7 linked regions of the Mus musculus genome follow. The main gene of each other region encodes a partner of the protein of the gene in region 6 in a complex. Links are inferred from orthologs where the notes say so. Each region holds a gene or a part of one and is shown on either strand. Other genes may lie near its edges.

Region 1 (3,500 bases), on a different chromosome or scaffold from region 6:
GAAGAGCAGCAGCTCCCTCTTACCTGCGGGGTTCTGATCTGCACACAGAGATGACGTGAGAGGCGAGGGCAGTTTCAGAAATGACCCTGAAGATGCTCCTGCAGTCTGCAGAGGGGCTCCATACTGCAAACAAAGCACCCACAGGTTAGATAAGGTGCTCCTTCAGCATGGGCGAGACACATGGCAATGCTCACAGAGCGGGGGAATTGGGGACACAGTACTAAGCACAGTCCCTGCCACACAGTGCCCATATATAGCTATGGGTTTGGAGACACAGTACTGGGTACAGTCCCTGCCATGCAGGGCTCATATATAGTTGTGGGTTTGGGGACTCAGTGCTGAACATAGTTCCTACTGACACAGAGGGTTTGGGAATACAGTGATGAGCACGAGTGTGTGTTTGTGTGTGTGTGTGCGCGCACGTGCAAGAGTGCATGCAAGCGCTCATTCTCGGCTGTCAATCACATCCACACACACCTTTTTAAAATAAATTTTGTGTATTATACACCTTTAATCCCAGCACTCAGGAGGCAGAGGCAGATGGACCTCTGTGAGTTTGAGGTCAGCCTTATCTATATAGTCCTGGGCTAGCCAGGTCTACACAGCCAAAACTGTTACATAACAGTTTCCTCCAAGACTAAAACATTCCACCCTGAAGGAACAATCCTTAAGCAGGAAGGTAAACAACTCACAAGAGCCTCAGGAAGTCCCTGAAGCTGGCTAGCTTCACTAGGCCCCTCCCTGCCAAGAGTAAGCAATAAAAGCAGAGTTTCTCTGAGTCTAGCAGAACTGAGATGCAGAGAGACTCTCAGTGAGCGTCTGCAAGAGGCTTAAGCCAGTAAGTAGTTCTCAATCTTTCACAGGGCTCATCTAAGACCGTCCTGAATATATGATATTCGCTTTACAATTCATAACAGTAGCAAAATGACAGTTATGATGTAGCAACGAAAATAATTTTATGGCTAAGGGTCACAACAACATGAGGAACTAACTATATTAGAGGATCACAGCATTCGAAAGGTTGAGAACCACTGCTCTAGCCCCTTAAAATTTATGTATTTATTGAGATGACTTAATTTGTTGCCCAAGCTAGTCTTGAACTCCTCCAGGGCTTAAGTGGTCCTCTTGCCTCAACCTCCCAATACTGGGATTAAAGTTGCTTGGGATAGGTGTGGTGGTTCAAGCCTTTACCCAGGTTTAACTGTGTCCTCTACTTGGGAGGCAGAGGCAGGCAGATGAGGTCAGCTAGGTCCACACAGGGAGTTAGTTCTAGGTGAAAAAGGGTTACACAGTGAGATCCTATCTCAGATAAATTAATAGAGGCTCAGAAGAATGTGTGTGTACACGTGTGTGTGTGTGTGTCTGTGGACAGGAATCAGATGGCTGAGCACAGACATGAACAAATCACTGTTCATTTTCATGGTAGTTGTGATACTCATTAAAATCTTATAAGATTGTATGTGTTTGTGAATGGGGAAGGGCCCACAGAGGTCAGAGGTCATCTAGTTGTCTTCATCTTAGTTTTTGAGACAAGGTCTCTCTATTCACAACAACAGAAGCTGGAAGCTTATGTCTGCAAAGACAGGATGGTGGCACAGGAGGGGCAGGTGTTTTGATAGTTAAGAGCACGGACTGCTCTTGCAGCAGGGCGTCCTGCCCAGGCAGTAGGCAGGAATGCTGGAAAGCCTGACATGATGCCTGGCAGGCAGCGAATGCTCCAGGAGCAGCAACCAATCTTCATATTGACACGGGAAGACACAGAGTCTGTCACAGAAAAAAAGTGTCCTAGGATGATGTTTCTAACTGTGACCCCCAGCACCACAGTTCTCTCCACAGCTTGTAGATGAACTTACAAACCAGGATGAGCAGGGCCGAGCTCTTCCTGGCCATGTGCAATGTGGATCCTCTGGGCCCAGTGAGCCGGTGGGACTGATGCCAGCCACACCCTGGGGCACACCAAGCATGAGCTCCACCAGGGGCCTCTGCATTTTCCTGAGGCTCCTTTGTGACGTCCAACTCTGACGACTAGTGCGCACGGTGCTTTCCTCATCAGAGGACGCTGCTGAAAAGGTGTTCTTTCTCTATTCTGTGTGTGTGTGCGTGTGTGTGTGTGTGTGTGTGTGTGATGTACCTGTCTAGGCACACGGACACACCTGTGTGTGATTGCACAGACACATGGATGCATGTGCAAACGCGGGCTTGAGGTTGATGTCAGACATCATCTTCAATCTCTCACCCACCATATTCAGTGAAACAGGGTCTCTCAATCAAGCCCTGAGCTTGCAGGTGAAGCGAGTCTGTAGCTAGCCTGCTCCTGAGAATCCCATGTCCACCCTTCAATGCTGAAATGACAGGCAGGCCAGCACAACCCCATCAGCATTTACATGGACAGTGGAGATTTGAACTCCTGTCTTGGTGCCTGTGGCTAAGGGCTTAAGCACTCAGTTATCCCGACGTCCGTCTGCTCTGTTCTGAGGCAGGGTCTCATGGAGGTCACGCTACTTTATGTGTGAGCTCCCACCTCTCCAGCTCCCAAGGCTGAGATGACCGGTGGGCGCCAGCAAGCCCAGCTTCTAAAGCTGACCACATTCAACATTAACGAGTCATTCTTTACGGGCTTGCTAACGAAAGGATATAAAATAGCCTGTAGGTTCCTAATGTCTGTAAAACTAAATATGACCGAGATGAGTACCTGGCGTCCAGAGAGCCCAGTCCCTGTGCCAGAGGCGGCTGCAGTCAGTCCGCTACACACATGCACTAGGGTTCAAAAGAACAGAAAATTCCACAGAGACAAAATTCAGTACAGAAGTGACTTCACATCCTGAGTGCAGAATCTGAGCGCTCGCCTGCATTCTCATGATCTTTGACAGAGAGTAGCATCCACTCTCCGTGCTCTCGTGGATGTCCCAAGGGCAGGCAGTTTGCCTTTATATGTTGATACTGAAATTCGCTTCTAAGGATAGAGTATTTCAGGATGTATGAACAGCTGCCATCGGGTTGTTGGCTCACCTCGTATTTAGTGGGCTGTGGGCCATCTGATGCGGCTGTGGAAGGAACAGCGGATTCGGCACTCAGTGTAAAGCCACCTGATGTCTGCATCAGTCTGTCAAAATTGTTTTCATCAGGCACTTCTGGATTAGCAAAAGACAGTGCAGGCTTGTCTGTAGACAAAGCATTGGAAATCAGCAGGAATGTATAGAGTATGTGACATCACACCTTTGGAAACCACTGTTAATAGCAATAAAACCCCTAGAAGAAAACAGTCTTTCCGGGCTGTCTAGACGGCAGGCCTCACTTCAGTTTGATCCCTAGGACTTACACAGAAGAAAGAGCCTCTAAAACAGTCACCCTCTAGTCTACACAAACACACATGCACACACATTTAATTTTAAAATGTTTTCTTGTACATTTGCCTCTCCCAGGATTTCTCGAGGCTTGTTAAATGAACAGGATCCCTAATCATCATGAGTTTGAGACCACCCTGGTCTGTGTGGTCAACA
Region 2 (4,294 bases), on a different chromosome or scaffold from region 6:
GTATACATATATCCATGTGTATACACATAGTAATTTATATGTGTATATGTAAAATATGTATAGCTATAATATGCATGTGTGTATGCAAATGTGTATATACATTAAAACTTCAATTAATATGTACAATAATTTAAGTGCATTAAAAATATCTGTTCTTAGACGGGCGTGGTGTCACACGTCTTTAATCCCAGCACTTGGGAGGCAGAGGCAGGCGGATTTCTGAGTTCGAGGCCATCCTGGTGTACAGAGTGAGTTCCAGGACAGCCAGGGCAACACAGAGAAACCCTGTCTCGAAAAAACAAAAAAACAAAAACAAAATATCTGTTCTTTAGGGCTACAGAGATGGATCATGGGTGGTTAAGAGCACTTGCTGACCTTCCTGAGGGCCCAGGTTCACCCACATGGCAGCTTAACAGTCTGTAACTGTAGTTCCAGAAGATCTGATGCCCTTTTCTTCTTCTTTTTAACTTTTAATTCTCACTTGGGTGTTTGTGTGTGCCTACAAAGGCCAGAAGACAACATTGGATCCCCGAAGCTGGAGTTTCAGGCAGTTGTGAGTTACCTGATGTGGATGCTCGGAACTAAACTGGGGTCCTCTTGCAAAAGCAGGAGGTTTAAAAGTCCTTTTAGACCTCTGAGCCATCTCTAGCCTAAGACCTTCTTCTGACCTCTGTGGGCACCAGACATACATGTAGTATACAGGCATACATACAGGCAAAATATCCATCGGCATAAAATAATGACTTTTAATTAAAAAATATGTATATCACAAGCCAAATATGGATACTGTACTGTATAAATCTTTCTGACTAATGCCAATATATAAAAAAAAATTTTTTTACCTTATTTTTCTTGCTTTTCTTTACTAGGTTTGAGCACATTGGCAAGTGTTGTTATTGTTTTGGTGTTTTGTTTTATTTTTTTAGCTAGGATCTATTTAAGATCTATTTAACTACGCATCCCTGTCTGCACTGGAATTCATTATGTCTAATTGAATGCATAGCCATCCCCTTGTCTCTGCCAGAGGGTACTGGGATTAAAGGCATGTGCCACCATGCTCACCTTAGCAAGGTTTTTGGTCCTCTATAATGACTTTTGTGAATTGACTGTTAGTATCCCTTACCATTCTCTCCCTTAGGTTTGTATTTTCGCACTAGGATGATATATTCTAAGTAATCAGCAGTTTTGCTCTGTTCTCTGGTGTCTAGGAACTTCTAGAGAAATCCTTGTTTAGAGAAGCGGAGGGGATCTTGAGCTCTTTAGGAATGTACTGCTTTCCTCTCTCAGAGCAAGGAGAAGACGCAGGCACTCTTGTGGCACTCAGGCAGCTGGGAGGACTGGTCTAAGATCAGTGCTACTGCCCGCTTCTAGCCTCACTCACAAACACACAGGTAAACCTTGACCTAGAATATGAAGCGGCAGCTTGAAGCCTCAGGGAAGAAGCAATGGTATATACATTACCAGATCCACTCTGATAGTGAGCCTAGGTTCTTTGTCTTGTTAATCAAGTTACAGGCTCCAGCATGTCTCATAAGCAATGGAAATATTTTCTGAACAACACTCACCGAAAAACAATCGTATGACTTCAATGCCAAGATAGAGCAGCAGCATCACCACATCCAGGACTAAGTTGGCTGTTGGGTACGGCAACAGGAGCCCTACAGGAGGGAAAGCCAGAGTATGCACACACCACCTAGCTAACGGTCAGCCCCACGGCCCCACAAGGATGGACGGCCACAAACCCGGGACAAGGATACCAACCAGTCTTAACATCTCACAAATCAGCAAGGTATAGATTGTTACAGCTACAGGCTTTAAGTTTCCAAGTCCTGACTCTGCCAAATGACTGAATTATAATGGTACACAGATCTGAATATTTTAGTAAAGAGAGATGGGGAAAGAGTTGGGATGGAGAAACCCACATTTCTCAAACTCAAGTCTTGCTGAAAGACATCCTATTTGATCATTCTAAAGCCATTAGTTGGAGAGACTTCTGCCTTGCAATGGAGATGCCGCTAGGACCAGAAGATAGAAGGTTCTTGGAGTATGCTAAAGTGGAAAAGGGTTGCTGGGGCAGAGGCAGATAGGCCCAGGCTTACCTTTGTACAGGAAAATAAGGAGCTCCAGCAGGAAATAGGTAGCATAGTACCACCCATTCAGAAAGAACAGGACTTCCAGGGGGGTTGAGGACAATCTTTTATCTGAAAGAAAGCAAAACAAAGAATGGGCAGGGCAGCTAGAGCTCTACTCTGTTCTGTGTGAAGGTTCTTTGTAATCCGGAGAAATCACAAGATTATTGTGAATGAGGGAGAAACTTCTGATTGCTAATGACGTGAGTGTTGGTGTGGCAGGAACTGCCTTCAATCTCCTTTCTCAGGAATCACTTTGACATCTACTTCTCTGACAATTCAGCTATAATCACAGCTGAGAGGCACCTCAAATATTCAACCCTGTCACTTCTGAGGGGGAAATTGAGGCACAGAAACTAATTCTGTCCAAGGCGGGAGGATTCATAACTGAGCCATCCCAGAATAGGGCCAGCCGGGGATTTTTAAGAGTACGGTATTCGAGTACCCATGCAGGCACTCGGGGTGATCAGAACAACCCAAGCCCGATTTAGACAAGTGAAGAGTAAGACCCCGACTTTTAGAAATGGAGGATTAGGTCGAGCTCTGGAGACAGAGAGGTGGAGGGGGCTGGCAGGTACCCGTGGGATAAGGGGCAGAGACACACACCTCCAGAGTCTCACCTCGCGGCGCCATGTTCAGTCCCCATGGAAACTGCGTACACTGCAGCGCCCGGAGCAATGCGGCGCTGCCGGAAGCGCGGCACCGAGCCGCCCGGTCTTCTGGCCGCTCTGCCTGCCGGTGCTACTCTATGGTTACCCCACCGGCCGCGCCCATGCACAGAACAGCGCCAGCCGTCAACCACCTACAGTGGTCTAGGGGGAGGATGGGGTTTTAAACGACGGCAGAGAGACCAGAACACTTCTCCAGCTGAACTCTCTCCATCCCCGGCGTCATGGCGTAGGTCGTTAGTGGCCCGGTGTGGCCGAGTAGTTGGAGGATCGGCCCTGCGCCCACCATTCTCTTTTCTACTGCATGTGTTTTTTTTAAAAACACCCCATGCCACTGTCGTGCAAAAGGCTTACCTGGAGCCTATGTAAACACCAAAACCGTTGAAGATAGAATGTCCTTTCTAGGAGTACAAGGGAAAACAGCGGTGCTATAATGAGATTCTCCTGCGACCCAAAGAGTGCAAGGGTGTTGAAAGGAGACAGCGTCTGGCCAGTTGGAAATTGAGAAATGTTTCCAACAAGCTTGCGCTATGAACGAACCCTGGCCGCAATTTGAAGCAAGAGCGTGTTGTTGCAGGCAGGGGGTGAAAGAGTAAGATTTCTGAAAAGACTCCAGCTGTCAGCCCTTAGAGTATGGCAGTCAGTCAACAAATAACGGGAGAGAGTAAGTAACCTGTAATGAAAGTGCTATTTCCCTACCTAGTAGGAGTGTGGATAAAGGCAGTAATTGTTGCTTCTCAAAGCAGGTCCTCACTCCGGGAGAATAATTTAAGTAGAAGCCTCCCTCCATCACTCCCCACCTCCACCTCTGCTCTCCTTCCTCCTTCACTTCTGCTTGTGCCTTCCACTGCCTTATTCAGGTCTGGTTTAGTTTGGCTAGACAGGTCTCCTATGTAGGCTAGGCAGGCCTCAAATTCTCCTGCCTCTGCTTCCCGTCCAGTACAGGGGTTTCAAGTGGGTGTCACAATGTTCTGGCAGGTCTTAAATGGAATTCTAAGTTCCCACTAAAGGACCACGGCAAGGTGAGGTGATGGAGAAAGCCCTGGTCCCTGCACCCCATCTGAACTACCTTCATACACACCCCTGCTCTGAGTCTCAGAGGAAAGGAGGGTGGACCAGTTGCTTGTTTTTGTAAATTATGGGTCTTAAATCACTCTGCCTAAACATTTTGATATTGTATACACATATAGTTCTCATGCTACAGTGAAAAGTTTACCCATTGTCAACAGAGATGATATAATCTATAGCCTTAATATCACCTGGTTGGTTAAGAAAATGATGCTGTTTCATGTCAGGATGCCACAACAGCATAGGTACCAAAAGTGGACACAGACTAAGTCAGTAACCTGCAGGAACCTTAGAATATGCAGCTGGGTCTCCTGCCCTCTGGGGTCTAACCCAAAGCTTGGGGCTGCTAAGCAAACACTCCCCACTGGGCTTTATCTATAGCCGTGCTCTTACACACTTTTCTTTAGTAAGCCACAAATAAAACTCAGC
Region 3 (3,500 bases), on a different chromosome or scaffold from region 6:
TTTCTTCTTTTTGGCCCTCTGTTGGGTAGAAGGTGACCTGGTTTCAAGTCTCCGGGACTGGCTTTCAGCAGCATGGCACTGAGAACAGAGAGAACTGGACACCCCCCCCCCCTCAGCCCGTCTCTAACATCATTTCCCTGTGCTTTGGTTCTCCCCCAAAGTGGAGACAAACAGACACCACACACACACACACACACACACACACACACACACACACACACAGCTTCTGAAATGAGGCAACATCTGAAGAGCATTCAGTAGGGGCATCAACACCCTCCATGCATGGCAAATACACATTCGACATGTACATTACTGATTATACACAGTGCTATCAATATGGTGTCTGAGTGGCTTTTTGGAAAAAAGATATTACCCAATCAATCCCTTTTGGGCCTCCCTAACAAAAGAGTCGGAGGGAGCCCTAGGTGTGGCCTGTTGGTCTAGCGTCCCTCCTCCTGCCTCAGGGGTTTGCCTTCCAAGGCCCTCCCTAGGCAGCCCCACTGCAGTGATGCTGAGTGATGCTTTGCAAACCTGGGCTTTCCTCCAGGCTTTCCATTGCTGATGAGATGTTCTGTACTCTTCCATCTTTGTTGCATATTCCTCCATGTGTTCCTCCAGCAGTTCATGGATCTCAGCTTGAATCTCGGCTTCATATGCATCCTCATCTAGTTTCGGGTCAACTTTTTCCCTTTAAATGAATTTGCAGATCGTGGTTATTTCTTGGAATGACGTAAGATGGTGACCATGCAGCAGATATAGTGCTGGGCTTGCCCTGTGCCAGGGTCTTGTCTAAAACCATTGCTTGTATTAAGCTGTGAGCCTCACGCTATCATCAACCCTGAAGAGACATTAACACAGACAGTTAAGAAACTAGCCTGTGAGTATACATGGGGAAGAGCTGTGGACCACTTAGTAATAGGGCCACTCTGGATAATTGTCCCTGTGGGTTGCCAAGGTGGAGTAAATTCTACTCCAAAGGGCCTGGGGACTCATTTGAATAGTTTTATTATGTCTTTGTTACTGAGTCCCTTAAGCCACTTCCTGAACTTGGGTTGATGACTTCAGGTTGTTTCCTTATGATTTTGTTGACAAGCCATTAGTTCATCCCAATAACAAGAGTATATCCACAGTGCATTCTGTAGATGTCTGTAGTACGGAAATGCCCTTTACAACCATCTCAGTAATTGTGATGGTTTCAATAGGTATGGCCCCCATAGACTCCCATGTATGAATGCTTGACCCATAGGGAGTGGCACTATTAGGAGGTGTGGCCTTATTGGAGAAAGTGTGTCACTGTGGAGGATGGCTTCCAAGCCTCATATATGCTCAAGTTGTGCCCAGTGTCACACACAGTTTCTTTCTACTGCCTGTTGATCAAGATGTAGAACTCGCTGCTCCTCAAGCACCATGCCTGCCTGCATGATGCCATGTTTCCCTTCATGATGGTAATGGACTGAACCTCTGAAACTGTAAGCCAGCCCCACTTAAATATTTTTTCTTTATTGCCTTGCTCATGGTGTCCCTTCACAGCAATGAAATCCTAACTAAGGTACTGGGTTAAATAGATGTGAAGGTCCCCTGCTCGTCTACAAGGAGCCTTTTCCTCATTCCTGACTGGGGAGGTTTTGAGGGGGGCACAACAGACAAGCCACACCTGTGTCAGCCTGGCAGTCTGGAGTTGGTGCTGGGTATGGACTGCTGACTCATTTTTACCTGGTGTGGTCTACCTTCCTGGTTTCATACTCGGTAAATTTCTCCATTGCCTAAAACTATGAGGGTTAGTCCAATATTTGTGTGCAGAAACAAATCTTGAGAGAAACTTGTGGGGGAGGTTTGGGACATACATTTATTTATGTATGTATGGATTGATTGATTGATTGTATATGGCTGAGGACTGAAGCTAATGTCTTGGCTAAATCTAGGCAAGGGCTCTACTACTGAGCTGTATCTCTAGCTTGAAATATTTTTGACTCAGCATTTTGAATAGATACTAAGTGGGAGGTACCCTGCTAGTTCCATGTACCCAATGTGGCAAGGCTCCTGCCTCAAAGGGCAATCACACTTGTATTTGCCCTGAACATGTTATGAATGGTTTCAGTTTTGGACAATTACAGCTTCTCCATCAAAATTTATAATTATTTTCAACTGGAAAGTATCTGTTGTTAAGCAAAGTGCTAGATAAATGCCTTAGTTTGTTACTTTTCTCACATATGTATGGGTACACCATGCCCCAAAGAGATGCCCAGAAAGGGACCAATAGCAGTTGCAGAGAGAGTCTTCATGGAAATCGACAGCACAGTGGGGCATTAAACTACATTCCTACTGATGTATGGAGTTCTCCTGAACTAGGAATCACACGGGTCAGCAAAGCATATCTTTCCTATACTACAAACAAGGAACAACTGCAACTGGATTGAAAAGGAAATGGGAAACAGATAGCTAGGAAGATTGTAGGAGATGGTGAAGTAGTTATCTGTATGAAACAGGAGACAGAAAGTACCAGACAACAAACAGGAGCATATTCTATGTTTTAAAACTAAAAGTTTCTCACTAGAGGGAAAAAGGAAGAGGGAGGGGCAGAAATGAATGGGGGGGCAGGGTGGGAAGGAAGAAGGGGGAAGATCTCCTGAGAACAGAGAGGTCCTGGGTACCTGGAGCACATTTCATGTGCAAGTTCAGGTCCCAGGTATCTTCAGAAGGCATGCAAATCACAGGCAGGTAAAGGAGGCATAATAAACCCAGCCTTATGAGAAGTCAGGAGAATAGAAAGTATACCAGGTGACAGGGACACTGGTGACGGCATTAAGGGATATCACACCTCTCAAGTGCATTTGGAGTCAGCATGTCAAATGGGAGAAAACAATTTCACTTCCAGGGACATGCATCCAGGAAACTGAGGTGCGAGCACACTAAAAGGCAAGTCTGAAACTCTTATGTAGCAAAGTTTGTGGGGCGTGTGTGTGAGTATGTGTGTGTGTGTGTGTGTGTGTGTAGTATGTATGGATACATGTTGACATGTTGAGTGTCTTCCACTATTGTCCTCAGCCTTATCTTTTGAGACAGCCTCTCTTCCTAAACTTGGTTCTCATCAGTTGGCTACCCTGGCTGGCGAGGGACCTCTGGGATCCATCTGTCCTGACCCCAACTTCCAAGCACCAGAATTCCAAACTTGTGAAAGCATGCCTAGCTTTTCTCATGGGTGCTTGGGATCTGAACTCATGTCTTTATGCTTATGCTGCAAGCATTCTCTTGACTGAGACAACGTCTCACCTAGATACTGTCAATCACGGAAATATACATAGCACAAAGAATTGTGTATTTACACATTGAGTCTTTAAAAGTGGAAAACAAGCAATATTAAATTGTATATTCTCAGGGCTGGAGAGATGGCTCAGCAGTTAAGAGCTCTTCCAGAGGTCCTGAGTTCAATTCCCAGCAACCACATGGTGGCTCACAATCCCCTGTAATGGGATCCAATGCCCTCTTCTGGTGTGTCTGAA
Region 4 (4,012 bases), about 7.6 Mb from region 6:
GTAAAGGTCTACCAATCAGCACATTGGAAAAGTGTGATCGCCAGGGAATCAGATAGGAGCAACCAGGATGTTGTCAGGTCCTGATTGCATGGAAATGCTAATCAGCAGATCATGCAAGCTCCAATCATCATTTTCTACTGCCCTCCGAAAGGAGGAACAGGTAAGGATTAACCTCCTGACGATAAAAGGCAGAGGGAGCCCATTGCTAAATAAGTAGAGACATTTCCTATTAAAGGAAGGGTGAGAATACGTCACTTTAGCACGAGCCCAGTGACTTACAGTTCTTGCAACGCAAGAATAATATCTATTTGCAAGTCGTTTGAAGTATTTTATTCTCCATTCGGCACAAAAAGGGAGAAACAAAACCATCCCAGAATGCTCCCCTCACACGCGGCAAATTAGAAGCGCTATGTGAGATAGTTATTTGCATATCCCCGCCCACTCACTTCCGCCTAGCTTCTAGCGTAAAAACCCAAATAGAAGCATTACTTCTAGCCCTAACCACAAGATAAAAGCCTTTATTTATACCAGCCTCTTGGCCCATCCAATGGTCTTCTGAAAAATAGTATACGCCTTGCTCTTGTTATAAAATAAATTTTATTACAAAACTCTAATAAAATTATAATCCAAGATTTGAGAGATCTTATTCCAACACTGCCATCCTCTGCTTAGCCGCAGTTGGGAGGAGCAAGGGACTTGGGCGAGAGAAAACTGAAGCCTCTGCCTTTTTCTTGCAGCAGTGGGAGGAAGCTTCATCACTTTTCCAGCCTTGGTCCCTACACCCGGATTGTGATCAGAAGGGTTTCTTTTTCAGCCCAAAGACAGCGATGAATAATGCAGTTTCAGTGACAGCTGGGAAGGCGCTGTGAAAAGTACGGGGCCGCGGGGGAGGGGGGGGAGTTAGAGCCCCTTCCAACCCAAACACTTGAACCTCCAAACCTTATATGCGGGTGGGTTAGGGTGGGTATGACTCTTCAAAACTCTACCAATTTCACATGTGCAGGAAAGGTCTAGGTGGGGGAAACCTTCAGATTTGGGATCGATTTTCCACCACCCCCCCCCATTCCAAAATATTGGGTGCTAGGGCACCTGCAGAAGGTAAAAATGTACCAGTACGTGGTACATTCCCATCGCTCGAATACGAAGAAAGACAGGGCCACAGACGCGCTACAGTGGGCTGCAATGGCTTAACAATACAGAGGGGGTCAAGGAAAGTAATCGGTTCGTGATGGGCCCCGTTGGTACCTGGACTTGGGTTCAGCTTGTACCCTTCCCTTAAGACAAGCGCCAGAGTTGGCAGCCAATGCCTTCTGAATTTATGGACAGTTATGTGTAAGAGACCAGAGCTGAGTTTGCTTTGATAGGACCTCTCCCTGTACACTCTGTACACTTCTGGGAAGGTTAATGTCATATATGCCCTAGGCCACACAAGAATACCTACAGATCTGATACACTGGGGATTTCTCCAGTGCCCTGGTCTTCCTTGTCCACAATTCAAGAGTAAAGAGCTACCTTTTTAAAAACACAAACAAACAAACAAAACAAAACAAGCCAGGCAGTGGTGGTGCATGCCTTTAATCCAGCACTTGGGAGGCAGAGGCAGGTGGATTTCGGAGTTCGAGGCCAGCCTGGTCTACTGAGTTCCAGGACAGCCTAGGTCTACATAGAGAAACCCTGTCTTAGATAACCTAAATATATAAGTAAAATAAGATTTAAAAAAACCCAAAAAATTCACCTGCCCCTGCCTCCCGTGCACTAGGATTAAAGGCTTGCAGAACCACACCTGGGCTCTATTTTCTTGGTCCCTTCTGAGTTCCCATAGTGCTTTGTATTTTACACACACCTACAAGCATACTGTTTAATCACACTGATTTACAGATGTTTGTCTGCCACCTCTTCAAACGGGATAAAATGATTTTACTCCCATCCAGGGATCGCCAGAACCTGGCTCACATCCGGATTTAACGAATGTTTGAAGTCTATTAATTCCCCAACAGTGTCTAAAACCTCTCACCTAGAGAGAGATTCGGTTTACCATGTAGAGCAGACACTTGTGCCCCAAAGGCCTACAGAGGTGGAAAGAGTGGTAACTGGGATGAGTCACCTGAGGACGATGGCCAAATAAAAAGGATACAGAGGAGGCTCTGGGTGCTATTGAACATGGAGACTCCTGAGAGGAAGCCAGCCAGCTCCACTGCAAAGAGGCCCAGGGTGAGACAGAGCGCGGCTACCAGCCTGCAGAGAGAAAAGGGCTTGGACCAAGGTTTCTGGATTCTGTTGAAGACCCCTGCACTCTCACCCCGCCCCAAGAGCTCACTGGTTGTCCTGCTTTTCGTATTCCTCCGGGGTGAATTTGAGAGGCAGGCAAGCCTGGATGTTGCTTTCCTGGCGAGCCGGGCAGAAAGAAAGAAATGTCAAAAGAGGAATGGGGCTGCGGGGACAAGTTGGGAAGGGGCCGGGGAACGGAGCAACGAACGGACCCTGTGTGAGTGGACTGAGCTGAGCTGGGTCCACTCCAAGATGAGAATGGGAGGGCCAGGAGGGCACGCGCACGCGCGCCCTGTCCGCGTCTTACCCGGGACCAGAACAACGTGATGACAACCACCAGATGAGCCAAGAGCGTCAGGAACCGAGAGGGCACGAGCCCGGAGATCCGACCCATGGCCTCGGGGGCCTCGAGTGGAGGCCGTGGGTTTTGAGGTTGGAAGTCTGGGGTGGGTCACTCATCAAGTCTCCCTGAGCAAGCAGGCCAGACCTCTCTACTTAAGTGTCCTTCCCGCGCGCTCGGGCGCCGCCCGGCTGCCATGGTAACTGCGTCCGCAAGCGCCACGCTGCTGCTTTCGGAAGTCTCGCGATAGTGCTGCTCCCTCTACCAACGTCTATAGGCGCGGTACGTGAGCCGTTGATGGACCCAAGAGGATGCAGCCAGAACCACCAAATCCTCCCTTCTCCTGTGCTTCCCACTCACTGCCTTGGGCGCTAGGAGTCGAGGGGACGAACGAGGAGAGGCTGATGCACCGAGCTTGTCCCAGGGTCAGGCTAAGTCCCCTAGCCCCTGGTTGTCAGAGGACTCCCCCTTCCGCCCTAGAGCAAAACTTTGCCGAAGAATGACTCTAATTTCTTCCTAAATAACTTGTCTCCGTGTCATGAGAGATTTGCCGAGTGCAGAAATGAGCAGCCTTGGGATGGTTAAAATTGGATGTGGGTGAGGTGACTGCCTCGGGAACCGAGGGGATCTGAAAGGGTGAAGAATGGAGCGGGGGACTGGAACTGCTTGCGCTTAGCCTAGGCTGGGACGCTGACCCACCACCGATTTCACTCTTGCTCTGAGTTGTTAGGCCCCGGACATTGCTCAGTTACAGACCAAGAACCTCTTCTTAGGGTGATGTGACCGATTTGGGGCTTCGGATGAAATCCCTGCAGATCGGAGAATCGGAAAGTTCTCAGCACTTTCCAGTTCACAATCAAGTCCCATGTCAATGGACCTCCCATCCCACTTGCACTCTCTGGTCCCTCCATTCCTTTTTCTTTGTGCCTCTAAACCAGCCCAAAAGACAAGGCTCAGGACCAGAGGGATTTCATCTATTCAACAAATATTTGATGTCTCCCAGATGCCAGGCACTGTGCCCCAAATCTGAGAGTACCTCGATAAAGTCCCTCCAGGTTATATTCTAGGTGGGGAGATTGATAACAGCCAAAACAAGAACAAAACCCAGCGAGGTAATGCGTGCTATAATTTTTTTAAATTAAAAGATAATACTAGAATAATATCAAAGGGAAGCTTTGAAAATAGATACTTCTTAAATTTTTGTTTCAAGGAATTGGCAGAGAGAGAGAGGAAGGAGGTGGAGGAGGAGGAGGAGGAGGAGGAGGAGGAAGAAGAAGAAGAAGAAGAAGAAGAAGAAGAAGAAATGATTCTGTCTCCCTAAAGTAATACATGGGGTTCCCTTTCCTAAGCCAGTTAAAGGTCATGAAAGACAGACTGGAGGTCTTCTAAATGAACGGGGGGTAG
Region 5 (4,080 bases), on a different chromosome or scaffold from region 6:
TAGTCGAATTTCCCTGAACCATTATGTAATGAGGAAACTAAGCAAACTTCGAATGATTCCATTTCTATTGATGCAACCGGCAATGCATCGACTTGCTGTACCTAATGTAGCATGAGGATTGCTGAACCTCATGTAGCATTAGGAGGATCAAGCATCATTTAAGACGATCAGCACAGTACATCTAAGACAGCGAATGCCATCTACAGCAAAGACATTTTACCCCGAATGGCTCTACATAGGGAATACTCAGCTTCTCTTTATACCCTAGTTATTCTGTGAGGCAAACAGAAAGATTTTTTTTCACAGCTTTGTACTTGGGATATCTGACTCAACCACTTTCAGAACAAAATGAATTTGTCTTTTTTCCCCAAAGTTTTCTTCTTTGCTTTACTGATCTCTCAAAATGTATACTAATAAAATTACCTTAATAAGTTTAAAGTAGCGGGGCGTGGTGGCGCACGCCTTTAATCCCAGCACTTGGGAGGCAGAGGCAGGCGGATTTCTGAGTTCTAGGCCAGCCTGGTCTACAGAGTGAGTTCCAGTACAGCCAAGGCTACACAGAGAAACCCTGTCTCAAAAAACCAAAAAAAAACAAAAAAACAAAAAAACAAAAAAAAAAACAAAACAAAAAAAGCAAAACAAAAAAACAACAACAAAAAACCCAAAACAAAAAAAGTTTAAAGTATGTGAACAAATGGGAAATTATACTGAAGTCTGAGAGATAGACATTTATGACTTTTTCTCAAAAGTTATTTTAAAATAAATTATTCATACCATGTTTTCTGGACACTTTTTACAAATAATAGAAGGTCCTCCATTATTAGAGATCATATGATATCCTGGTAGACATACACAGGAAGTTCCTGAAAAGAAAAAGAAAAAAAAAAAAACAAAGCTGATATTGTCCTTAGCAAACAAAACTCCAAGACACAAACTTAACAGTTCTTAGGATTTTGAAGCTTGGAGTGGTGGTGTATACCTGTAACCTCAGTATTTAGGAGGAAGAGGCAGGAAGTTCAGGCAGTACTTCAAGGGTATCCCTGCTCACAGACAGTGCGAGGCCAGACTGGGCATTATATGAGAGACAACAGGTGTCTTTGTCTGTCTGTCTCTCTGTCTGTCTGTCTGTGCATGTATATGTGTCTATGGGTCTGTGCGTATACATGCAAACACTGAGTGGGTTAATGAATTCTATACTTCGGCTTCTTGTTTAGTAAAATGGAGAAAAAAACAGGACCTACCTAATAGGGTCAAAGTTTAGAAATATGTCTGGCATCATGTTGCTACTTTTTAAACTGCAATTATTATTGAACTATGAAAACTACTTACTTGCTCTAGGAATTACATTTCTGCATCACTAAACCATATGTATGTGTGTTTAGTGAGTTTTAATTTTGTCAATATCTTATTGGAAAATTGCTTTCATTCAAATACTCTTTCTCTAGAAAGAAAATAAATGTTGTTTGTAATTACAAGTAGACTCAGCTAGTTAAAGAAAGAATTCTCTAAGGACTAAGTAGAGCCAGCACCTGTAGGAGTCTATGTACAACACACACGTCTTCATTCATTGTCATGAAAGCAATACAATGCAGAACACGTTTGCTCTTCACACTCCATCTTCTGACACAGTGATCCGCACTGCCTTAAGTGAGACTCTACCAGGCCTAAAGCAGGAGAGTTAACCAGTCTGAGATTCACAGCATTTTAGACTTCAGTAAATAGGAAAAGACTCATTCTGAGTAGTTAAGGGAGAACTAGACCAATCGATGCAATTAAGTCTAAAAGGACAATGTGAGCAAACAGAAGTCATCAACAATAAAAGGGACAGGTCCTAAGGGAATATGTAACCACAGATGCAAAGCCACGCGCTGGGAATGCAGAGGTAGAAAGTGAGGGAAGCCAGGTGTCCTGGCCCACGCCTTTAATCCCAGCACTCAGGAGGCAGAGGCAGGCGGATTTCTGAGTTCGAGGCCAGCCTGGCCTACAAAGTGAGAGTTCCAGGACAGCCAGGGCTACACAGAGAAACCCTGTGTCGAAAAACAAAACAAAACAAAAAACAAAAAAGAAAGTGAGGAAGAGACAAGAGTTCTCTTAGTTTCCAGTATATGTCACACAGATGTCACAACATCTCGGTTTCAGTTTCCTTTGCTTACAAAATCTGATTATAGTCACAGTTGCAAACAGCTTTAAATATCTTGAATTTGGAAGTAGAATTAATGGTCACAAGAGTTTACTAATTCACATTTCTTCCCTTGCTTTCCTGTCAGGGTACCTCACTAGACGCCTCAGGTTATTTCTTTTCTATTTCTATTCTACTTTTCTTAGGCGGCTTTCAGGTGCCATCCTAAGGATTCCCTGCCAGAGACTGACTCCGGGGAATGAGTTCCTGGAGGAGGGTAGGGTGGTGGCGCCTGGGTGACTGATCTCATTGTGTCAGCCGTATCCTCCCAGGAAACCCTTTCTTAGGTTTGATAGCTGTGCATTTTCTGAAACATTCTCCAAATAAAATGTCTGGAGTGCTGGCTGTCAGGAGTGCTTTATTTTGGTCAGAGTCCATCCACCCCCAAACCGCCTCACCTAGTGCATCCCGCCGCTGGTTGGCGCCACAGGGGGCACAGGAGAGCGCCGAGATGTCAAAGTACTGGTTGAAGTCGCAGGTCTCAGGCCGCCGGAAAGGGAAGGAGAAGATTTGTGCCCATGAGACTTCGCAGAGAACTAAGAGAAGGTAGGCGGTGCCAGTCCGGGATGAAGAACGAGATCTGACCGCCATGGCCGCCACAGGCCTTGTACGCGTCACCATGGTACCCATATCCTGGGTCCGCAGTCTCCAGCTCCCCAGCAGCCTCCTCGGTGAGTCCGCTGAGCTGATTGGACAACAGGGTTCAGAAAAAAAAAAAAAAAAAAAAAAAAAAACTCAACCTTGCGACGCCTGGTTGCTAGGTTACCACGCACGCGGGAAACAATGGATCAGACATATGCTAAATAAATTAGGGGCGGTTATTTAAAATGTATTTAAAACTCTGGGACGCAGTCAATTTACCGTGTCAGGAAATACTACTACAGCAATGGAAAATATATGGTTTTAGCACTTAAAAGTGTTTCATGAAAGTGGCAATCACACCTACATGACAGTTTACCCAGGGGATTAATTTTGACAACAAAGGAGGTGCCCTATGTTTTTACTTTTTTTGTTTGTTTTGTTCTGATTTTCGAGACAGGGTTTCTCTGTATAGTCCTGGCTGTCCTGGAACTCACTTTGTAGGCCAGGCTAGCCACGAACTCAGAAATCCCGCCTGCCTCTGCCTCTACAGTGCTGGGATTAAAGGCGTGCACCACCATGCCCGGCTTTGTTTTTACATTATTTAAAAAACACTAAGGGTAGGGATTGTTTCAAGTCCTGAGTTTGAGTTTTAGCAAAGCAATACAAACAGAAACCCTCATTGATTTTATATATAATACCTTTATGACAAAAGTCTAGGAGAAACCTTGCCTACTGAATCTTGATTTCATACTTTCTCTGTATTGTGCATAAAGCACCCTACATATACACCTCATCTCACTTGGTTTGAGAACCAAATTTGGATATACATGAATATTGCCTATTAAAGTGCACAGCCTTGCAGACTGTTAGCGCAACAATGCCTAATAAAAGCCTCATTCTCCCTTTCTCCCCTGTCCCTGGTTCTCCTCCCTCTCCCAGAGGATAACTCTATTTCCCATCCCAATAAACCCCCGACTGGAGAACTGCCACATAGTGTGATTGTTGGGAATTGTCACATACACCTAACAGCACAGTAATAAAAGGTTGAAGGGATGCTTTCTGTAATACATACTTTAGGTAAGGCAGCCCGAAGGCCTGTTGTAAATACAGCTTGCTTTTATCTGCCTATGCAACTGCCCTGTTTTTCTCAGGTTTAACAGAAATCACAGGAGAGGATGGAAAACTCTGCAGCTTTCCACTTCCAAAGCGGTTCATTATGATGAAAAGAAAAAAAAGAAACCTTTTTGATTTGTATATTTTACAATTGCCTCACATCCCCGCCCCCCAGTGGAAGTTTTCAGGGGTGGGTCAGGGGCTCA
Region 6 (2,644 bases):
TGGTGTAGTGTGACTACATGTTTATGTGTCACCACTACCAACAAACATGGAAAAAACTAGAGGCCCAGTTGCTTTCCCATAGATGCCAGGGTGCTAGGCTGCGGAGCTTGCCAGAAACCCACGCTGGTGGTACAGCCTCCTGCCTGGGATGGCTCTTGCCCCATCCTCAGGGTCCAGCACATGAGAATTAGGATGGGTGTGGGGAATAGGAATGGAGGGTGGAAGGCAGGTGCCCCAAGGAGTACTTGTTACAGATTCTGCTAACAATGTAAACAGTCATAGCGGCAGCCATGGAACAAGTGACTTTTAACTTCCTGCTGCTGAGGAAGACAAGTTTTAGAAAGGAGTGCTGAGGCAGTGAAGGGGTGGGTGTCAGCTCTGTGCAAGCTGCTGACAATCCTGGAGAGGCCCCCACTGACCATAGCATCCTACTTGGGTCTATTCTGTTGGGCCCCAGGCCTGTTCCTGTTAGGTGCTAATCAAGAAATGAAGGCCCCAGAACCTCTGAAAAACATGTGACACTTTATTATATAAAACTACCTTTAGCTCCCCTGTTTCCCAGCCTGGTTGGCATGTCCTTGGCTGTGTGTGGGCTGTAGGGCATCTGGTCCACAGTGGCGGACAGAAGGGCTGATTTTTATTGTGGGTTGCCCTGTGGCAGGCTAGGACCCAGGACTCCTTGTGTGTCCACAGGCCCAGTATCATAGCCCAGCTTCTTCATGTCCTTGGTCACCACATTGAAGAGGAGGGTAACAAATCCCTGAGAGCGAACACGAGTCACTGGGGACAGAAGCTGGGCATTAGCTGGATTTGACCGGGGCAGACATGGTAAACCACCCGCTGAAGCCCTTGTGTAAGTGGTGGGTGTCTTGTATATTACTAGGTCCCAGTTGTCTGGAAGCTCCCTCACCTTTACAATCTCTTTTCTGGGCTTCTGGGGAGTTGGGGGCCCATCTCAACCCTCAAGTTACGGTTGGGAGCATCAGTCTTACCTTCCCGGCCTTCACCCTGGGCCACCACCTTGGGGTCTGTGTACTCGGGTCGCCGTCCCATGAACCAGCTGAGAACATAGGAAAACACGGTGAGGAGTACTTGGGACTTGCTGACTTCAGACACTGAGCCAGAGTGTTCTAGGCTTAAAGAAGTGTTTCTCCTACAACCCCTCCTCTAGGTGCTAGGACAACCTCTTAACTATTTGAAGGGTCCATTGCCAACAGTTCTAGCAGTGCTTACGCCAGCTGCCCCAAGGAGCATCCAGCCTGCCTAGCCAATTCTTTGGTGGTTTTAACCAAGGATGAATGTTAAAGGAGATGTGGGGCAAATAGTGCAACCCGAACCCATGGAAACCCCCAAAAGAAACAGGTGGGTCAGAAGGGTGGAAGCAAAACAGTGTGACCCTTAATCTCCTCAGAGAGAGCCTAATCCCAAGAAGGGCCAGATCCAGCTTCCCAAGCTTTGCCTCCTTATATGGGATGCAGAACAAGCCACACCCCATCACTGAACCTGTTTGTCTACTATAAGGTAATAGCACCTACCTCATGAGACTACATGAAGTGAAGGCACCCCATCACCTGCCGCATAAAACATTACCCTTCTAGGGAGGATCTGGCCCTGGGTGGCTGTGGATAACGACAGGTCATCTGACTTTTTTAAGTCTCACCTAGCTAAGTTAGCCCCCAGGCCCTAGCTGGCAAACTAAGAAGCACTCCTACAAATGTCTTGTAATTCACAATCCTACTGCACCCAAACTTCAGATCCTGGGCCCTACCCATGCCTCTAAGACAAATGGTTACAGATCCAGCGTTTTGGTGGAAACCATAGGCTTGGAGCATATAGGATTAGTCTAAGCATAGCAGCCAGGACCAACTTAGGCTTTGTGGAACAACACCAGCATTCCTGTTTGAGGCGGTAGATTTGTCTTCTCCCTGGGCAGTTTGTGGCAGGCTTTCTGGTAACCATGACTACACATCCACTACGTACAGCTATGCTGAGGGTATGGCTAGATTTTTGGGCTTCCAGGCCTGTTAGACTGCTGGGTGGGAGTTCCTGAGGGGGCCCCAGGAGGAGGAGAATTGTTCAGACAACCAAAGTAAAGAAGCCAGGGTTCCTACAGCTAAGCATTCCAGAAGAAACTAGGTGAGTGGGTGTCTCTCTTCTATTTCCCCATCATAGAGCAAAGTTGAAAGTGCACTCACCTGAGTACTATGAGGAGTCTCAGAGAGCAATCCCACCATCACCATATGTCCAGTTCTCTTCTATAGTCATGGTTACCAGAAAGCCTGCTACAAACTTCCCAGAAAGAAGACAACGTTCTACCTTCTCAGGCACACCAGAATGCTGGTGGCGTTGTTTCACAAAGTTCTCTATACATTTCTTTTTATTAAAGAAAAAAAAAAAAACCAAAAAACTTTTTTTACATTTAGTTATTTTATGAGTATACTGTAGCTGTCTTTAGACACACCAGAAGAGGGCATCAGATCCCATGACAGATGGTTGTGAGCCACCATGTGGTTGCTGGGAATTGCACTCAGGACCTCTGGGAGAGCAGTCAGTGCCCTTAACCACTGAGCCATCTCTCCAGCCCTACATTTCTTTTAAATGAAAAAAAAAATTTTTTTTTTTTCATTTGAGAAGAGACAGAACA
Region 7 (3,500 bases), on a different chromosome or scaffold from region 6:
GGCATTGGTATACTGGGTAGAGGACTTATCTAAGGGGAAGACAAATTCTCCCTCTCTCAGCATTTTTCAATTTCCTGTAACTTTTCATCTAGTGTTGAGGCCCAGTGTCATTTTCCCTGTCCATGTTAGTATATTAACTGGCATTTTCATTGTTCAGGTCTTGTTTAAACGGCTGTGCTGTTGCAGTTTCATGGGTGTAACTTCTATGTCGTGTACAAAAGACTCTATCTTTGCTCAGATGTCCTGGTCCTCTGGCTCCTAAAATATTTCTGCCCCCTTTTCTGCCATGTTATGCTAGCCTCGGGTGAAACCCTAGTATTGGGACACTTGTCTACCATGTATAGAACCTGCACAAAGTCACTTGCCAGCAGCACACACAAAAAAAGTAAAATGTAAATATATACAGTAAAAATTTATGGGTTTTAATTTATTTCTTTATATTTTTAAAATGTCTTACTACTTATTAATGGGTACTTTAAAATTAATACAGAATAAAATGATAAAGATGATAAAATTCAAATTATTGCCTTATTGATATAGCTTATTAAAATAAGCTAGATCAAAGTTATATTGGCTGCATGTTGGTCAAAGATTTTAAAAATATTAAACCATTTTTTGCGTTAAAACTTTATTCTTGTATTAGGATAAAAGAGTTATTATTTTTGTTGTTGCTGCTTCTTATTTGTTATTTCTTTCGTCTTGTAGGATTAACCATTGACGACTTGAACTTATCTGAAACCTTTTCTCATGAAAATAAAATAGAAGGAAGAAAACTAAATTTTATGAGCCTCAATAATATGAATGAAACACAATCAAAGGTAAATAAAACAGTAATGCTCTGACTTAAGAAGAAGGAAAAATGCTAGCAGTTGGGTATTTTTCTTCACTTAACCTCATTTAGCACATCTGCCCCCTTAGCTTATTAAATAATAATTTTTGCTTGTTTAAATAGTGTGGTGATCAGAAGATTGATTAATGAGACATTATTTACTTTGCATACAGATTAAGAGTTCAGCTAAAACAGAGCTGCTGCATAGGAGGCCATCATTCAGTGTTGTACAGTCAGATCAAAGTGAGGCAGAGGAGAACATGGCCACACGATCCTTATCGAGAATGCTGTCTGGAATCCATCAGAGTGTAGGCAGTGCAGGGGACCCTATTGTCTCCTTAACCAGATGCTCCTCATTTATGCAAGTGAAAGACAGCAGTGCAACTCCAGAAGCTATTACAATAAGGGAGATTTTTAAAGCACCATGCCTACGATCTTTGAGAAAGCTAGAATCGTTAGTCAGTACCTTCAGTAAGGACGGCAGTGAAGAACTAAGTGAATACTTATGCTCTCTCTCTGATGACCATATGAAGAGAGGGTCAGGAAACCATCGAGGTCTAGAGAAAACCAGGTTCCTACAGAAGAGCAGTTCATCTTTTCAAGTGTCACCAGCAGCTGCAGAATTAATGCAGAAACTATCACATAGGCAGAGCTCCGCAATATTTCCTCAACAGTCGTATGACCGTGATGTGGATAAAGTAACGTCAGAAGATAACCAGGTCTATTCTCAAATAGAGCATGCCGTTCTCAGTTTGAAAGACGATAAAGGACAAAGTGAATTACCCTCCCAAACTGAGATGCTGAGCAGTAAGACCCAAGTGAATCTTTCAGATCTTGTGCCCATTACTGCCCAGTCCAAACCGTCTCTGATACACCCCCTTGAAAAGCTCATAGGGCAGCCACAGCGCCAGCTAGCGTTCCTTAGGTCTCAGGTGAGCTTCCTTTCCAAATAGATTCATGCAATTCCTGGGCTACTACTATTACTATTACTATTAACCGGAGTTCTCTAAAAAATTCTGGAAAGATTTCTTTTTACTTACACATTAACACTCATGTATAACAAATCTATACTTTTAAAAAATCTAAAGTTGCAGTATATTTGCATTAAATTTGTTGACTCCCCTAATTAATACATTAAATGTTTCTTTAGAACGAAACCATAGTTCAGGACTTACCGATCCAAGAAGAGCAGAGTAGAAATGCAGAATTAGAACTTGACCATCAGAGAAGCCAGGCAGAACAGGTAGTGTAAAGATCGACCATTAAGACAACGATATAGTTGACGCTAAAGACAGAAAACCCCTGTATATCTCTGTGCCCTGCCATGGGGAATGTGGGTGAATGAGGTGGTAGAATCGTGGCCATCTCTGTTTTGCCCTCTGGACTTTATAACTGCTATGCTGCTCTAGCTTGTTTTCTGGTGGGCTAAACTTGAATCAGTAAAGCATTGTTTTAACTTGAAACCTGCTTATTACTGAGATATAACACATTTTTATTCTCTTTGTTCAGAATGAGTTTCTTTCAAGAGAATTGGCTGAAAAGGAAAAAGATTTAGAAAGAAGTAGGACAGTAATTGCTAAATTCCAGAGTAAACGTAAGTCACTCTTATGTCTTTCTTATCTGCTCCATTTTTTAAATCTTTAATTGCCTTTATAATATATAGCTCAGTCTATGTTACTTAGCTTTGTAGTTTACATTGCTATGTTTATTGTTATAGAATATTTCCAGTTTTTATGAAAATATGTGTCACATATTTTATGCTCAAGTGAAGGTAAACTTATAAACATTTAAAGATTTTTAATAGGTCAAAGCTATGCTATATCTATCTGTATTTACATATATATTAATTTTCATTTATATATTTGCATATGTATATTACTAAAACAGGTGTGGTGTTTAATTCAGCATTTATGTTGAATTTATAGTTGAATTTTTTATTTCCTTGTTTGTTTTTCATTTTTTTTCCATTTGAAATCTGTCATGAAACAAGAAGTAATATGTTGTAGAAAAGACCTATTCATTTAACGTGAAAAAATTATAATTACAGTAAAAGAATTAGTCGAAGAAAATAAGCAACTTGAAGAAGGTATGAAAGAAATTTTGCAAGCTATTAAGGACATGCCGAAGGATTCTGATGTGAAAGGAGGTGAAACATCTTTAATCATCCCGAGTCTTGAAAGACTGGTTAACGTAAGTTATGTTTTCACGTTAATGTCTGCATTCAGCCAACTCATCTCCTGTATTGGTTTCATTTTGATGCTGTGATAAAATACTCAGTTAAAAAGCAACATAAGAAAAAGGACAAATTATATTCCAGGCATAGCCTGTTGTGGCAGGCAAATGCAGACAGCTGGTGCCAGCTACAGCTGCTCAGCACTGCGTCCACAGGCTGGCCGACTGATGCTCTACGTGATAGATGAGTGAGGACGTGGACATGGAAGGAGTCAAAGTTATTTGCTCAGCTAATAAGCTGGCTCATGAGTGCTGATCATTTTCTAATCTATAAATATTTACTAAATGCTATTTATTTTAATGAAGTAATTACTGTGTAATAAATACACTAAACTTAAATTTTATAAATATTACTTCATAAGAAATATAAATAGCATATTAGACATTGCAGTGAGCATGGAAAGATGATTAGTTATTTAAAGGCATATTTTTCTTGACT

What was found.
Region 1: B9d1 (region 6) and Tctn1 share a complex: the UniProt entries of both Homo sapiens proteins name them as parts of the tectonic-like complex. The link is inferred for Mus musculus from reciprocal best matches to the Homo sapiens genes B9D1 and TCTN1.
Region 2: B9d1 (region 6) and Tmem216 share a complex: the UniProt entries of both Homo sapiens proteins name them as parts of the tectonic-like complex. The link is inferred for Mus musculus from reciprocal best matches to the Homo sapiens genes B9D1 and TMEM216.
Region 3: B9d1 (region 6) and Cc2d2a share a complex: the UniProt entries of both Homo sapiens proteins name them as parts of the tectonic-like complex. The link is inferred for Mus musculus from reciprocal best matches to the Homo sapiens genes B9D1 and CC2D2A.
Region 4: B9d1 (region 6) and Tmem107 share a complex: the UniProt entries of both Homo sapiens proteins name them as parts of the tectonic-like complex. The link is inferred for Mus musculus from reciprocal best matches to the Homo sapiens genes B9D1 and TMEM107.
Region 5: B9d1 (region 6) and Tmem67 share a complex: the UniProt entries of both Homo sapiens proteins name them as parts of the tectonic-like complex. The link is inferred for Mus musculus from reciprocal best matches to the Homo sapiens genes B9D1 and TMEM67.
Region 7: B9d1 (region 6) and Cep290 share a complex: the UniProt entries of both Homo sapiens proteins name them as parts of the tectonic-like complex. The link is inferred for Mus musculus from reciprocal best matches to the Homo sapiens genes B9D1 and CEP290.

What each region holds. Positions count from the first base shown.
Region 1 is NC_000071.6:122,254,461-122,257,960, forward strand, and holds part of Tctn1 (tectonic-1 precursor), read right to left. Parts: intron 3,162-3,500; coding exon 3,010-3,161; intron 124-3,009; coding exon 24-123; intron 1-23. UniProt on the Homo sapiens protein: Component of the tectonic-like complex, a complex localized at the transition zone of primary cilia and acting as a barrier that prevents diffusion of transmembrane proteins between the cilia and plasma membranes.
Region 2 is NC_000085.6:10,552,964-10,557,257, forward strand, and holds the start of Tmem216 (transmembrane protein 216), read right to left. Parts: upstream 2,801-4,294; 5' UTR 2,763-2,800; coding exon 2,750-2,762; exon of another isoform or gene 2,736-2,749; intron 2,202-2,735; coding exon 2,100-2,201; intron 1,659-2,099; coding exon 1,566-1,658; intron 1-1,565. UniProt on the Homo sapiens protein: Part of the tectonic-like complex which is required for tissue-specific ciliogenesis and may regulate ciliary membrane composition.
Region 3 is NC_000071.6:43,700,379-43,703,878, reverse strand, and holds part of Cc2d2a (coiled-coil and C2 domain-containing protein 2A), read right to left. Parts: intron 689-3,500; coding exon 532-688; intron 19-531; coding exon 1-18. UniProt on the Homo sapiens protein: Component of the tectonic-like complex, a complex localized at the transition zone of primary cilia and acting as a barrier that prevents diffusion of transmembrane proteins between the cilia and plasma membranes.
Region 4 is NC_000077.6:69,069,597-69,073,608, reverse strand, and holds Tmem107 (transmembrane protein 107), read right to left. Parts: upstream 2,801-4,012; 5' UTR 2,663-2,800; coding exon 2,576-2,662; intron 2,386-2,575; coding exon 2,318-2,385; intron 2,236-2,317; coding exon 2,135-2,235; intron 1,187-2,134; coding exon 1,090-1,186; coding exon of another isoform or gene 1,011-1,089; exon of another isoform or gene 864-1,010; coding exon 794-863; 3' UTR 316-793; downstream 1-315. UniProt on the Homo sapiens protein: Plays a role in cilia formation and embryonic patterning. Requires for normal Sonic hedgehog (Shh) signaling in the neural tube and acts in combination with GLI2 and GLI3 to pattern ventral and intermediate neuronal cell types.
Region 5 is NC_000070.6:12,085,138-12,089,217, forward strand, and holds the start of Tmem67 (meckelin precursor), read right to left. Parts: upstream 2,801-4,080; coding exon 2,578-2,800; intron 864-2,577; coding exon 775-863; intron 1-774. UniProt on the Homo sapiens protein: Required for ciliary structure and function. Part of the tectonic-like complex which is required for tissue-specific ciliogenesis and may regulate ciliary membrane composition.
Region 6 is NC_000077.6:61,510,788-61,513,431, reverse strand, and holds the end of B9d1 (B9 domain-containing protein 1 isoform 1 precursor), read right to left. Parts: intron 1,061-2,644; coding exon 993-1,060; intron 781-992; coding exon 638-780; 3' UTR 501-637; downstream 1-500. UniProt on the Homo sapiens protein: Component of the tectonic-like complex, a complex localized at the transition zone of primary cilia and acting as a barrier that prevents diffusion of transmembrane proteins between the cilia and plasma membranes.
Region 7 is NC_000076.6:100,511,582-100,515,081, forward strand, and holds part of Cep290 (centrosomal protein of 290 kDa), read left to right. Parts: intron 1-705; coding exon 706-818; intron 819-1,002; coding exon of another isoform or gene 1,003-1,761; intron 1,762-1,979; coding exon of another isoform or gene 1,980-2,072; intron 2,073-2,338; coding exon 2,339-2,423; intron 2,424-2,876; coding exon 2,877-3,019; intron 3,020-3,500. UniProt on the Homo sapiens protein: Involved in early and late steps in cilia formation. Its association with CCP110 is required for inhibition of primary cilia formation by CCP110.